Linked DNA regions of Bombyx mori. The protein of the gene in region 3 interacts with the protein of the main gene of each other region in a biochemical or structural test. Links are inferred from orthologs where the notes say so. Each region holds a gene or a part of one and is shown on either strand. Other genes may lie near its edges.

Region 1 (4,139 bases), on a different chromosome or scaffold from region 3:
GAGATCATTTTAAAGGTTGAATTCCTAACTTTAAACTGATACCAAATTCATTAAAATCAAGCCAGTATTTAAGAAGTTATCTTGGATTAAGTGAAGGAATAACGAAAAAGACGTGTTTCAATTGCTTGATACGTCGCGAGTTGCGGCCTACTGACCCCTATAAAAGCAACTGTTATCGGATTTTCTTTATCAGTCGACTTTCACACGTTGACTGGTACATATCTCGGCTACTTTTGACCCTTTACCTTGTACGACAATTGGGACAACACCTACAGAAGTAGCACAAATCGTAGCCCTATTGCAAGAAGAGCTCAGCCAGCGGATTGTCGCTCGTCGGCTCCAAATAAGCCATTCCTGTGTTTCAAAAGTTTGCAAGCGCTTTCAAGAGACTGGTAGCTTTATCCCGAGACCAAGATCTGGACGGCGCCGGGGCACATCGGAGAGGAATGACCGTTTTATCGTGTTAACCTCTCTCCGAAATCGGCATTAACCTGGTGTCGACGTCCAACAGGAGCTCCGAGATGTTCGTAGGGTAGCAGCTAGCAAGTAGACAGTTCGTCGACGACTCAAGCAAGCGAATCTGACTCCAAAAAGGCCTGTCACAGGCCCGAAACTCACGGTAGCTCATCGACAAGCACGCCTTCAATTTGCTCGTACCAATCTTAATTGAGAGGTTGAGCAATGGAGGCAAATCCTGTTCTCCGACGAGAGCAGGATGTGTTTGCATGGTAGCGACCGAAGAGGTTGGGTCTGCAGGCGGCCTGGGGAGCGATTTGCGCAGTGCTGTTTCGCTGAAACAGTGGCTTATGGGGTCGGCTCTTGTATGATGTGGGCCGGCATTTCCTTCGACGGTAAAACCGAGCTTGTTTTCGTGCCTGGTGGGGGACGAGGAGGCGGTCAACTTCGGACGGGTACATTTCCAATATTCTGCTGGAACATGTCGTTCCCTATGCGGGATATGCCGGTGATCGCTTCCTCCTTAAGCACGATAACGCTCGTTGTCACACTGCCCGTGGAACAACTGAATACTTCGAAGAAGTCTATATCGCCACATTGGACTGGCCTGCGCTCAGCCCTGACTTGAATCATATTCAGCACGTGTGGGATGAACTGAAGAATAGGGTTCGTTCCAGAACTTCTGCTCCTTCATGCCTGAATGAGCTGAAATCGGCGTTGATTGAGAAGTGGGAAGGTATCCCACAAGAATCAATTCAAAAGCTGATCAGGTCTATGAAGAATCGTCTTCGAGGAGTTATTAGGGCAAGGGAAGGGAACACAAAGTACTGACATTTAATTTTAAGGCTAAATAAATTTTTTATTTATTAATTTTTGTTGTTTTATGCATTCATTATTTTTCCATATTTCCTTTGTTTCCTACCTCCTTCACTTAATCCGGAATAGCTCCTTAACTACTGGCTCGATTTGAATGAATTTGGTATCAGTTTAAAGTTAAGAGTTCAACCTTTAAAATGATCTCATTTTTATGATTATCAAAAAAATATTTAGTACACAAGATCGCGCGGAATCAATTTCAAGTAAGTGATTCCAAACTTTTGCTCGCGAGTGTAGTTTATTTACCAAATCCTCCTCTACAGTTGGGACTGTTCTCAACCAGTTTATCACTTTCCTCCCATTGTTTAGGTGTTTTTGCTACTATTGATAGTGCATGTACACCATTTTGAAGTTCTTCTGCCAATAGTTCATTGACTAAACGATGTCTCTGGAATTAGTTTTTAAATAATATATTTGTTGAATTTGAATATAAAAATGCATCCACTGATATGCCATGAGTAAGACAACCAGTTTACTTATATGAAGTGCCGTAATTTTCTTGGAGATTAAACCCTATAGATAAATCGAAACTGTATGTAGGCAGTGTCGTTTGCATTGTGATTTTAAGTTTTAAAACAATGTTAGTAGGCCTTTCAGATTTATAAGAAGTTAAAATTCATTTAGTTTGAGGTCTGATACTGGCATGATACTACAAATATATTAAATTAATAATTTAATTTTTTTGTTAACTCAAATGGTAGGAAAAAAAGGAACATTTCTGCTAGTATTAAGGGCAAAGCTCAGACAACTCACTTTTATAAGAGGTAAACCATCAAATTTTTCTGAAACAACTACTACTTTGAAGTGTGTTTCAGCTCCTTTTGGTACATTGTGCATGTAGGATTCATTTATCACCTGGACATGCTTTGATTCTAAAATTGTTAATAATTTATTTCTTATTGTACTTTCGACTATTCCTGATGCGGATGACATGTTTCTGATTGTTCCTGGAATGTATTAGTGAACCACAAAAGTTACAGTGAATTAAGAAAATCAGTTTCCTCAAATCTATTAGCAGCGTATTTTAGTGTAGTGGAGACGTGTCTTATATAGTTTAAAGTTGTTATATTAAGAATGGAATTGACAGAATTTGTTAAAAACCTTTATCACATTAACAAGATAAGCTTGTAGTACATATTTATGGGTTAAAACGACAATATTCGGACAGTTGATTTACTGACTATAATCAACCGCTTGATGGAAATCTCTCCCTTGGTCTTTTCCACTTACGTTTGTTCTTAGGTGTTTTTGTCTATCAGATACTTTTGGTCTTGTTTTAACGCCTTCATAAATTATATACTTTTTTGCTGGCACAGTAACCCGAATTGGATGCTAGTTAGCGACAGGGTGACGTATTAATTTAAAATAAAAGGTTTATTTGGTACATATTATAATATTTAATATCGAGTACTTTTATATAAAGAGCATACAAGAAGCGGCACTTACGGTGTTGAAAAAATCTCAACATAGATATAAAACGATACGATTTTAAGAATAAAATTTATTAGTTACGTATGTATGTACCTATGTGTTTTATAAACTTTTTCTTCTTTTACAAATGTTTTTGAAATGTTTCTGGTTTTGACAGTAATTATAGTTCCATTTTTCCAACTGAAATGGCGAAGATATCATACCATACAGCCAAATCTTTTGTATAATATGTTTTATGAAATGATACGGAGTGAAAAATGAAATGGATAAAATAAATTCTCAGTAGAATAATAGTGGCTTTATCAATTACCTTAATGGATTTTTTGGAAGAGTTCGAGAAGCCACGTCCAGCAACTTGTTTCATTTTCCTACAATTGAGCACTTTGACAGACGCAAAACAGTTAACATAGTGCAGTTATTTCATTTCGTTACATTTTCACACAACTACGGTCTTATTTTTTTTTATTTATGTACACACAGAAAACAAGACACAGTACAGAGTAATAGGAAAATTATGTACAAAGGCACTGCTTATTTCTTTGAGAAATCTCTTCCAGCAGACCTGCGAGAGGATAATGAGAATAATAATAAAAAGTGATAAGTGTGTGTAGAACAAATAACACATAACTAAAATAACAAATACAACATGAGAATTATAGCACATACACATAGCAAATATTATAAGTATCACAGTAACACTCGTATATGCGAAGAGTATAGAACCATGATCATTCGGTTGATGAGAGATAAAATTGTTTGACCTTGTATTTAAAAACAGAAACAGACTTGCAAACTCGGATGTCAGCCGGCAACGAATTCCACAGTCTGACCGCGTGCACAGTAAAGGAGTGAGAATAGAAATTGGTTTTGTGGGAAGGGAATAACAAAACAGAACGTTGGTTGGACCTGCAGGGAGCATCAGGAGAACGAATGAAAGAGAATCGCTCACGTAAATATAAGGGAGAAGTGGGCTTATGTAGGATATCCGCTCTTCTCGTTCCCGCCTTTAAGTTTGTTTTTGACAGTTGCGTTTTGTACAAAGTACCTTTGTTCCCCTATTTGCTGGTAGCATAAGAGGCTAATCCAGCTACATTGAGGACTATTTGGCGGGAACGCGTGGAGTAAAGTTGTGTGATTTGTTTTATTTTGTCTATTTAGTGTTTCTTCAGGATTAAATTTGTAATAACGGTGGTTTATTAACTGTTTAATATCTGTGAAAGTGCACAAATGTAGGAAAATAAAACAAAGCCGCTGAACGTAACTTCTCGGGATCCTTCAAAAAGTCCACTGAAAAAGTCTCATTCACCATTTTACTATATTATATTTCATCCCATATTATCTCATCTCGTCTCGTCTCCTTTTTCATTTCATTTCAT
Region 2 (3,989 bases), about 9.1 Mb from region 3:
ATATGATCAGTTGATTAAGATTCTTTAGTGTATTCATTAGAGCTGCTAGTACTTGTGAGGGGGGATTAGAGTATTGCTGCTGCTATTAAAAAAAGGGAATACCACAATAAAAATACAAAACAAAAAGTAGATGGTAGTTAAGAGTTCAGTTTAGATTTAATTAAGCTCGTCATTAACGAGCTTAATGCTTAATGCTACACATACTCAAGTCGTACTGAGCCTGGAGCGGGCGGCGGCTTCCGGGTGCCTCTCACATTAATGATCGTCGTTACTGTCGAAATTACAGATTTTACACGGTTGAAACTGCAAAGTGCGCCTGGGATGTATAGGGAACGAAAATAAGATATAAAACAAAAAATATTTTGATCAAATAGAATATATCTACAATTTCAAATTTTAACAAATATAATTCATATCATACGATACTCAACAAAATTTCTTATTGCTATCACTACAACATATTAACAATTTATGATGTCAACAATTATGTACATAAAAGGTCAATAAAAATACAAAAGAAGAGAGGGAATTAGCTTGTGTGATGCAGTTCCAAGATACTTGGAGCATGTGAATGATGAGAACCATTAAATTTGTGATGTCTCTACAAGTGCACATGCTTTTATTCGTTTCATCTGAAATCATAACCTTAGTACATATTTGCAAATGATGGATGAGAAATTGGAAAAATTCTGCTCCTAATGGTTGACTTTCACTTCAAAGCGAATCTTCAGTATAAGTATACTTGTCTAATGGCAATAACTGTATTTTTATGTATTTTTTCCAGAAATTCGTCATTTCAGAAAATTTAGATGCTATTTCCCTCTTCAGCAATATTCTCATTGCGTGGCGGCCGGCGTCGTGTGAATACGGATGCCATGCATTTCTGCTATTTCATTCTTCAGAGAATCTGTTACTAATCTGTGTTGTTTCACTCTGTTCAACCCTACGAATTCTTTAGCTTCCACACTTATCTGTGAAATAATAATAATATTTTGTAGTGAATTAATATATAGAGGGGAAAATAAAAATAAGACTCCATTTCTTGTTTCACAGATTGTAGTTAGGTACTTTTTATTGCATAAACGAGTGAATTAGGTGGCAGTCTGACGTCAAGTGATCAACAGAGCCCATAGATATTTTAAAAGCGGTCATCGCCTGCACGATGAGACGTCCGGTGCATTTGTATCGAGCTATGTGACTGTCCAGGTGTTCGAATCCCGCAGGCAGGTATATACTAATTTTTCTGATGAATTAAGTACTTCACAGCCTTTGTAGCGAAAACTGAGATTTAGATCTCAAGTTAGGTGGTGGCAATTACGTTGTTCAAGTATATGAGCTCCGGTGACCACTTAACACCAGGTGGCTGCATGAGGCGGTCCACACATCTCAGCAAAAAATAATAAATTCATGATAAAATAATGAATAGTTCAAAAAATAACAGAGGACTTTTATTAAATTCATATATTTAATTTTCTGATTGCCATTATCATTCCATTTGATATGTGCTTAACACTTTATTTACCGGCTGAGACTGCCACTAAGTAAAGACTAGCTTAGGTGTGCGTGCATTTTCTTATAATTCAACAAGGATATGGAGACATTAGTATAGCTTATCCTACTGGACAAAAATAGTCAATAGCTAAAATGAATAGTCAAATTATATATGGTCACTGCCAATCTGGTTATAGTCACTTTGTTAAAGTGTTAATAATTGATTTAACTTTACTACTTTATTTTAGTAATACAATAGATTACTTTAGTAATATAAATCAGATGGAGAGGTGTTTTTAAAAAGTACAGTACTCTCCACCTGCTTTTCATAATCCAATCCATCTTAACAAGAATATTTGACAAAAATTGGCAAAAATAAGAGCCAACCCAATAAATTACAATCATAAAAATGACAGGTTTTTCAAATGTAATGTCATTATCATTATTTTATTATAACAGTATTTATGACCAAACTGTATATTATTATGTAATTCCTTAGAAATATACTCAGTGGCAAAGTACAGCACACCTGAATGTTGCATAATGAACAATTTTGTTTTCTCTTCTGGTCTGGGAGTTTATATTTATTTTTAAAGGTAAATAAGTATGTATCTCACTGGTACCCATAACACAGGGAATCCTAATTTGGGGCTGGATGATCAGTTATTTATTTATTTACTAGTCTGGCATACCTCAAACATAGCGCCACAACCCCCAGATATATCTTGCACACTGATGTACGTGATTCCCGGCATAGCCTTTTTCAATGCATCTGTCAGTTGTTGTTCTTTGGAAACACAATTCTTTTCGTAGACGCTGCCCGCAGCTCCTGTACTAGCCCCGTTTCCAGCGACCGCACGCACCTAATTAAGCAGACTAATGTAGTCAATAACATTTTAAAACACGAAATGTATATTCATTATAAATGCACCTACTAAATGATTTTTAACAGGTTCAAAAACTTTAACAAAATTGCGAAACATTTTGTATTTAAAACTTAGGATTTTCAGCAAACTTGTTTAGCACACGTAGTTAGGAGTAAAACTTATTTTTTATTAAATCTTTACGTAATATTGATACACCATAATTATTTAATTTGAATGTGTACCTCACTATAAACTTTTACTTTTTTCTTTATTTTGATAACCTAACCTAAAATAATTTTAATGGTAGGTATAAAGGGTTTTTCTCGAAGAGAAAGGCAATGGAACTAAGCCATACATCCAATTCTTAAGTTTAATATTTTCATAATATATAATTTTATTTTTCAAGGGAAAAAAGGTAATTCTTTAGTGTTGTGGATTTTAAAATAAACGATAATTAAAGTAAAACAATGAACATTTTATTTTATGGAGAGAGAATGACATTAAGTCGAGGTGACAAGTAAAAGAATAAAACAGAGTTGTGTATAAAAACTATAAAGAAGGTTTGATTCATCATTTAGTATTCTTCATTTATAGATATTTTTCAAATCCGTGTAAATGTCTATTCATATATTTAATTTTTTCAATATGTTTCGGTTGAGAGTTGTCGCTTAATGGTAGGTAGGTACCTAAATAGCGTATAATCTATGAATTTGTCCAAGCGAAAGGCGAGAGGATCACATTATACAGCATAATCTTTTGTAAATTCTGCTTTAAGAAAAATAAAATGAAATGTGAAGCGCAATGCATAGCCTTGACATATAAGTTCGAAAGTCTCAAGTACGTTACTGCCTCACGACAGAAATAGGCAGGGTGGTGTTACCTACCCGCGCGGACTCACAAGATGTCCTACCACCAGTATTGGGTTACACCTCTTGTGTAACAAAGATTATTAACTCGTAAACCTGTATTATTTTTCATCTAGAGAAAACTCGAATACAACGATAAGTATACAAGTAAATCCTATCAAGGAAAACCTCGCAACACTTACCACGTAAACATAAGCAATTTAAGTATAAACCTCAAAAAAATAAGAAAGAAACTGATAATAAAACATCTGCAAATCAGAATAAAGAGGAAAATGAACCCCTGCAGAAGCAGAGAAAAGCACATGAGCAGAAATCGTATTCCTATACAGTCAGATCTAAGGTACATCAAAATAATACAATCCATCAACCAGACTCTTATAAAGTCATAGAACAAATGTTTATAAAACAATCCCAAAAGATTGCTACTGTACTACAGCAAATGAGTACATTACTTGAACTCATTGCAGTACTAGCCTCTAAGTTAGTAAAATGACTGCACTAAAAATAACTACATGGAACATCAATGGCTTGGCACCCAACATCGATGAAGTGGAAATCCTGATCTGTCTACATAGTCTAGACATTCTCCTAATTTCAGAGACACATGACGACCAGCAGCTCGATAAGAATTAAAGGATATAAGATCTATTCCACAAATCATCCAGACGGTACAGCCCACGGCGGGACAGCAGTGATAATTAAAGCCACTGTTAGACACCATGTGTAACCAAACTACTGTACCGAACATATCCAGGCTACCACAGTA
Region 3 (4,196 bases):
TTGTTTAAATCTCTCTATTTATATCATAGCATTAGATATTTTTTAACTTTTATATGAAATTCTCAGCAAAGTCACAAAATTATTTGTAAGATAAAATGGTGCTAATGTTAGGCTTGACTAATGTGTGACACCAAATGAAGACTCATTCACATTGTGAGAATGTTTTTGTTATTTTATTTTAAGTTTATTTATACAAGTTTCATTTTTATAACTACCATTAAAAATATGTTTTATTTCAAAGGTAGCAAAACTAAAATTTACTAAATTCTTAAGTGCAGGGAAGTGTCACACAAATTATTTATATCATAGATTGCCATAACTTGCCTGCATCAATTTATTTATCTTTTTTTTTATATATTTATTGTCGTTTGTGAGAGTATTTTTGAATGAGTACTCGTAAATAAATGATCTGCCATATTTTCGTCTTTTAATATTGACTACATTGTTAATCCAACCAATTTATTTTACATGGAGTATGGTACTTAGATTAAGAAAAAATTATTATGTGCCCAAAAAGTATACTAACTCGAATGTACAGCTAATTATTAAATAAAGAGCTCTTAAACTTGCATTACTTTATTTCACAATAACTACCTAAAACTAAGCAATAACTATTACAACAAAATTATTAAAACAACACAAATAATATATGGACTTGGGCTTTCAAAAACAAAAAATCGTCACACTTTAACAAATTCTTATTACATCAGAGATTTCTTCATAAATACTTTAATTTTAACAATTATGTCTTTGTTTCTATACAGTACCACCACTTAAAATGAATTAAAACAATAATTTCTAATACAAATAGAAAACTACAAAATTAAATACATAATACCTGAGATGGGTATTTTAATTTTTCTTCTCCCCTTGCTTTGCCTCTTCAGCTGTTAAAAGTGCACTTTTTATACCCACTTTCTTCAGTTCCTCAATGAGTTCACCAGATTGGTGCATCTGCAGCATTATGTCACAACCACCAACAAATTCACCATTGATAAAGACTTGAGGTATTGTAGGCCAATTCGAATAATCTTTTATACCTGCAAAATATTGTTATAATTGTAACTTCATACATTCAAACAATTTCCAATATCAGAGATAATATCTACTTTTTACAAAAATTGCTTTTGTAGAGATTCATTCATATTTTTAGAGTTACACATTAGTACACATTAGTACAGCCCCAAGGAATAGTATGTTGTCGGACACATGATGTCCATTATGGCATTCAATGTGTTGTAATTTCGGTACCATAAGAGATACATTTTCCGTTTGCCTATTGTAATTTCAATGACAATCACATTTAAAAGCACAAACTAGTGGGTAAAATAATTAGTCTATCATCTTATGACATTCGTTTTCTTTTAAATGATACTCAAAGTAGGCAGCAGGGCACATTAGTCAAAAACTTCACTTTTTCAAATTGTAATAAAGGCCTCGTAGGTAATGCACTAGTCAAAATTTTATGCAACAACAATTAAATTTTTATTTTTTATTGCCCTTGTAGGCAGACGAGCATATGGCCCACCTGATGGTGAGTGGTTACCGTCGCCCATGGACTTCAGCAATGCCAGGGACAGAGCCAAGCCGCTGCCTACCGCTTAATACTCTCCACAAGTCTCGTTTGAAGAAGGACATGTCATAGTGCTCGGGAAACACCGTGGAGGGAAGCTCATTCCATAGCCGGATGGTACATGGCAAAAAAGATCTCTGGAAACGCACTGTGGATAACCGCAGTGGCTCCATGTAGTATGGATGAAGAAAGTTTCGTTTTCATGTAATCAAACCAATTTTTATGAAAATAACATCTTGACAGTAAGTGACTATGTGAATTGTTTATTGCAACATAAGTGCACCTTAAAATATTTGTTATTAGCATTGAATAAAAGAAATTATTGCTACTACAAAAATTTACGTAATTCTAGTCACTACTATTGTATAGGTTACTTTGCATCGAACTCACCTTGTCTAAGATTTTCATCACTCAACACATCATGGCTCTCGTACGGAACTGCATGCATCCTCATAATCTGCACAACAGCATTACTGAAACCGCATCTTGGCGCGTCCGGTACGCCTTTCATAAACACCACGACTTTGTTATTTTTTACTATTTTTTCAATTTTGTCATTTATTCCAGCTTCTGAAAATGCGCGACAGGATATCTTCAATGTGGTATTAAATGCTTGAAAACTTCTTCTGACTAAGGTGTTCATGTTAACACAGATATATTCTAGTTTTTAATATTAGATATGAACGCAGTTTTTCTTTGACGAATTTTATAAAGCAAAAATTTCAGACTAAAATTTCATTGACAGAATGACCAATATCCTCACTAAGGGTGATACCGATATGTTAGTATTCACTAAGATATTCTACAGCTTGCATTCGTGTATCGGTAATCCGCCGAATTCTGATATGCTAATATTCCGTATTCACTTATTCATAATATTAGCCAACTCACATCGGTCGGGTTGTATCTATTCACAGAACACTGTTACTTCTAGCGAAGTATCTATCACAAGAAAATATACTGGCATACGCCGTACGTGTCTCGCGGATATCTGTCTATCACATTCATATCAATACTGCATGCGCGTAGAGTAAGTGCGATAATCTATACGTTTATATACTGAGCAATGAAAATAAGTACATTTCGCTATGACTTTAAGGACTATTTTGTATTGCACTTTTTACATGTCAAAGATGCTAGTGGGAATTTCCAAATGCATTACTTTTTTATGTTTGAAACTTCATTTCATTCATACTAAAGATTCTAACTCAAGACAAAATAGTGCATTTTCACATTTATTGGAATAAAATTGGTGAGCTTTATTTCCATTATTTTAATTTAATTTTCTGTTTCCTTCGAATTAGTTGGTTTTAAAAGGATAATTTGAAAAACGAAAGTAAGTATGTAGTTGACATTGTTTAACAATTTCATAAATTAAAATATTTTTACACAAAATGTAATACCGCCACAACTGTTTTTACGTAATAAATTAGGATAACAATATATTTTTGTGGTGGTATTTAATTATATTCTAAGAACTTCTCAAAATATAAATAAAAGTTTGATTTTTGAATCGAAATGACTTTCTAACCAAACGATTCATGGATTATAATAATAATATTATAACTGTTGTGTACCTACTAGCCTCAATACCGTGTCAAAGGTTTTTCCGAATTCTAGAATACTCATTTCTGACCGACGCGGCGTCGTACCAGTCTTTCGGTAGAAAAAGTAAAAAAGCTGATGTTTTTATGCACCAATAAGAAATAAATAATATTACTAAATTGTTGTTTATATTAATGTACAATGTTGACCAAATTCTGATTTAATAATAATATTCATATCGACGCTTGAAAGGCAAACGTGACTAAGCGACAATAACTGCTTTATACATAAATGATAGGCAATAACAATATTCGATGCGCAAAAAATGTATATTTGTAGGTCTATTAAAATCATTTCAATCCTACAGCTACTAGCTAGATTCTATTACAGCTAGATTCGTTAAAATATTTTATTTTCTTCAGGTATTTCAACTTTAAATTAGTCTACTGTAAAGTTCACGCTTAGTCACGTTTGCCTTTCAAGCGTGGCTATTAATGTACATAATATTACTTGTAAAATATTTAGTATGAAGTCAAATTCCTACATACAATATACTATTTATATTAATTTAATAACTAATTTATGTGTATTATCTATGATTATTAACTCATTTCATGAATACCGTACTAGGTTTAACTCGTTTACCCGTTTTATCGAAGTATATTAAGATATCAGGATATATTCACGTATTAGTTAAGGTATTATAATATTACATCATGAATATATTCGTATTAGGTAATATTGACAAATATCGGTATTATTCCATCTTTACATCACTAACATTATAATAGGTACCTTTTTTTATTGTGGCTAAACCGTGCGGGTTTGTGCATTAGCCAGTGTCAAGTAATAAGATTTTTTTTACCGTTTGAACTATTTACAGTTTATGAATAATAAAAAACGAACGAAACTGTCCATGTTGGCCATTATTAATATCAGTGTAAGTATGAATTAAATTAGCAGCGTGGGATGGTATAGATAAATTAGGTTGAGAAAGTAATTTGATTAATGTACTAATGAACTCAGCAAATTATATTATGAAGTTAAATGAAATGAAGTTGATTAATATTATGAAACA

What was found.
Region 1: the proteins of uncharacterized monothiol glutaredoxin ycf64-like (region 3) and bolA-like protein DDB_G0274169 form a complex in vitro, tested with the Homo sapiens proteins (2 studies listed by BioGRID). The link is inferred for Bombyx mori from reciprocal best matches to the Homo sapiens genes GLRX5 and BOLA1.
Region 2: the proteins of uncharacterized monothiol glutaredoxin ycf64-like (region 3) and bolA-like 3 form a complex in vitro, tested with the Homo sapiens proteins (4 studies listed by BioGRID and IntAct, with this or other methods). The link is inferred for Bombyx mori from reciprocal best matches to the Homo sapiens genes GLRX5 and BOLA3.

The regions. Positions count from the first base shown.
Region 1 is NC_085115.1:575,998-580,136, reverse strand, and holds the start of bolA-like protein DDB_G0274169, read right to left. Parts: upstream 2,932-4,139; 5' UTR 2,801-2,931; coding exon 2,779-2,800; intron 2,280-2,778; coding exon 2,086-2,279; intron 1,721-2,085; coding exon 1,571-1,720; 3' UTR 1-1,570. UniProt on the Homo sapiens protein: Acts as a mitochondrial iron-sulfur (Fe-S) cluster assembly factor that facilitates (Fe-S) cluster insertion into a subset of mitochondrial proteins. Probably acts together with the monothiol glutaredoxin GLRX5. May protect cells against oxidative stress.
Region 2 is NC_085124.1:484,723-488,711, reverse strand, and holds bolA-like 3, read right to left. Parts: upstream 2,686-3,989; 5' UTR 2,475-2,685; coding exon 2,427-2,474; intron 2,355-2,426; coding exon 2,184-2,354; intron 972-2,183; coding exon 837-971; 3' UTR 566-836; downstream 1-565. UniProt on the Homo sapiens protein: Acts as a mitochondrial iron-sulfur (Fe-S) cluster assembly factor that facilitates (Fe-S) cluster insertion into a subset of mitochondrial proteins. Probably acts together with NFU1.
Region 3 is NC_085124.1:9,560,136-9,564,331, reverse strand, and holds uncharacterized monothiol glutaredoxin ycf64-like, read right to left. Parts: upstream 2,728-4,196; 5' UTR 2,217-2,727; coding exon 1,964-2,216; intron 1,041-1,963; coding exon 853-1,040; 3' UTR 561-852; downstream 1-560.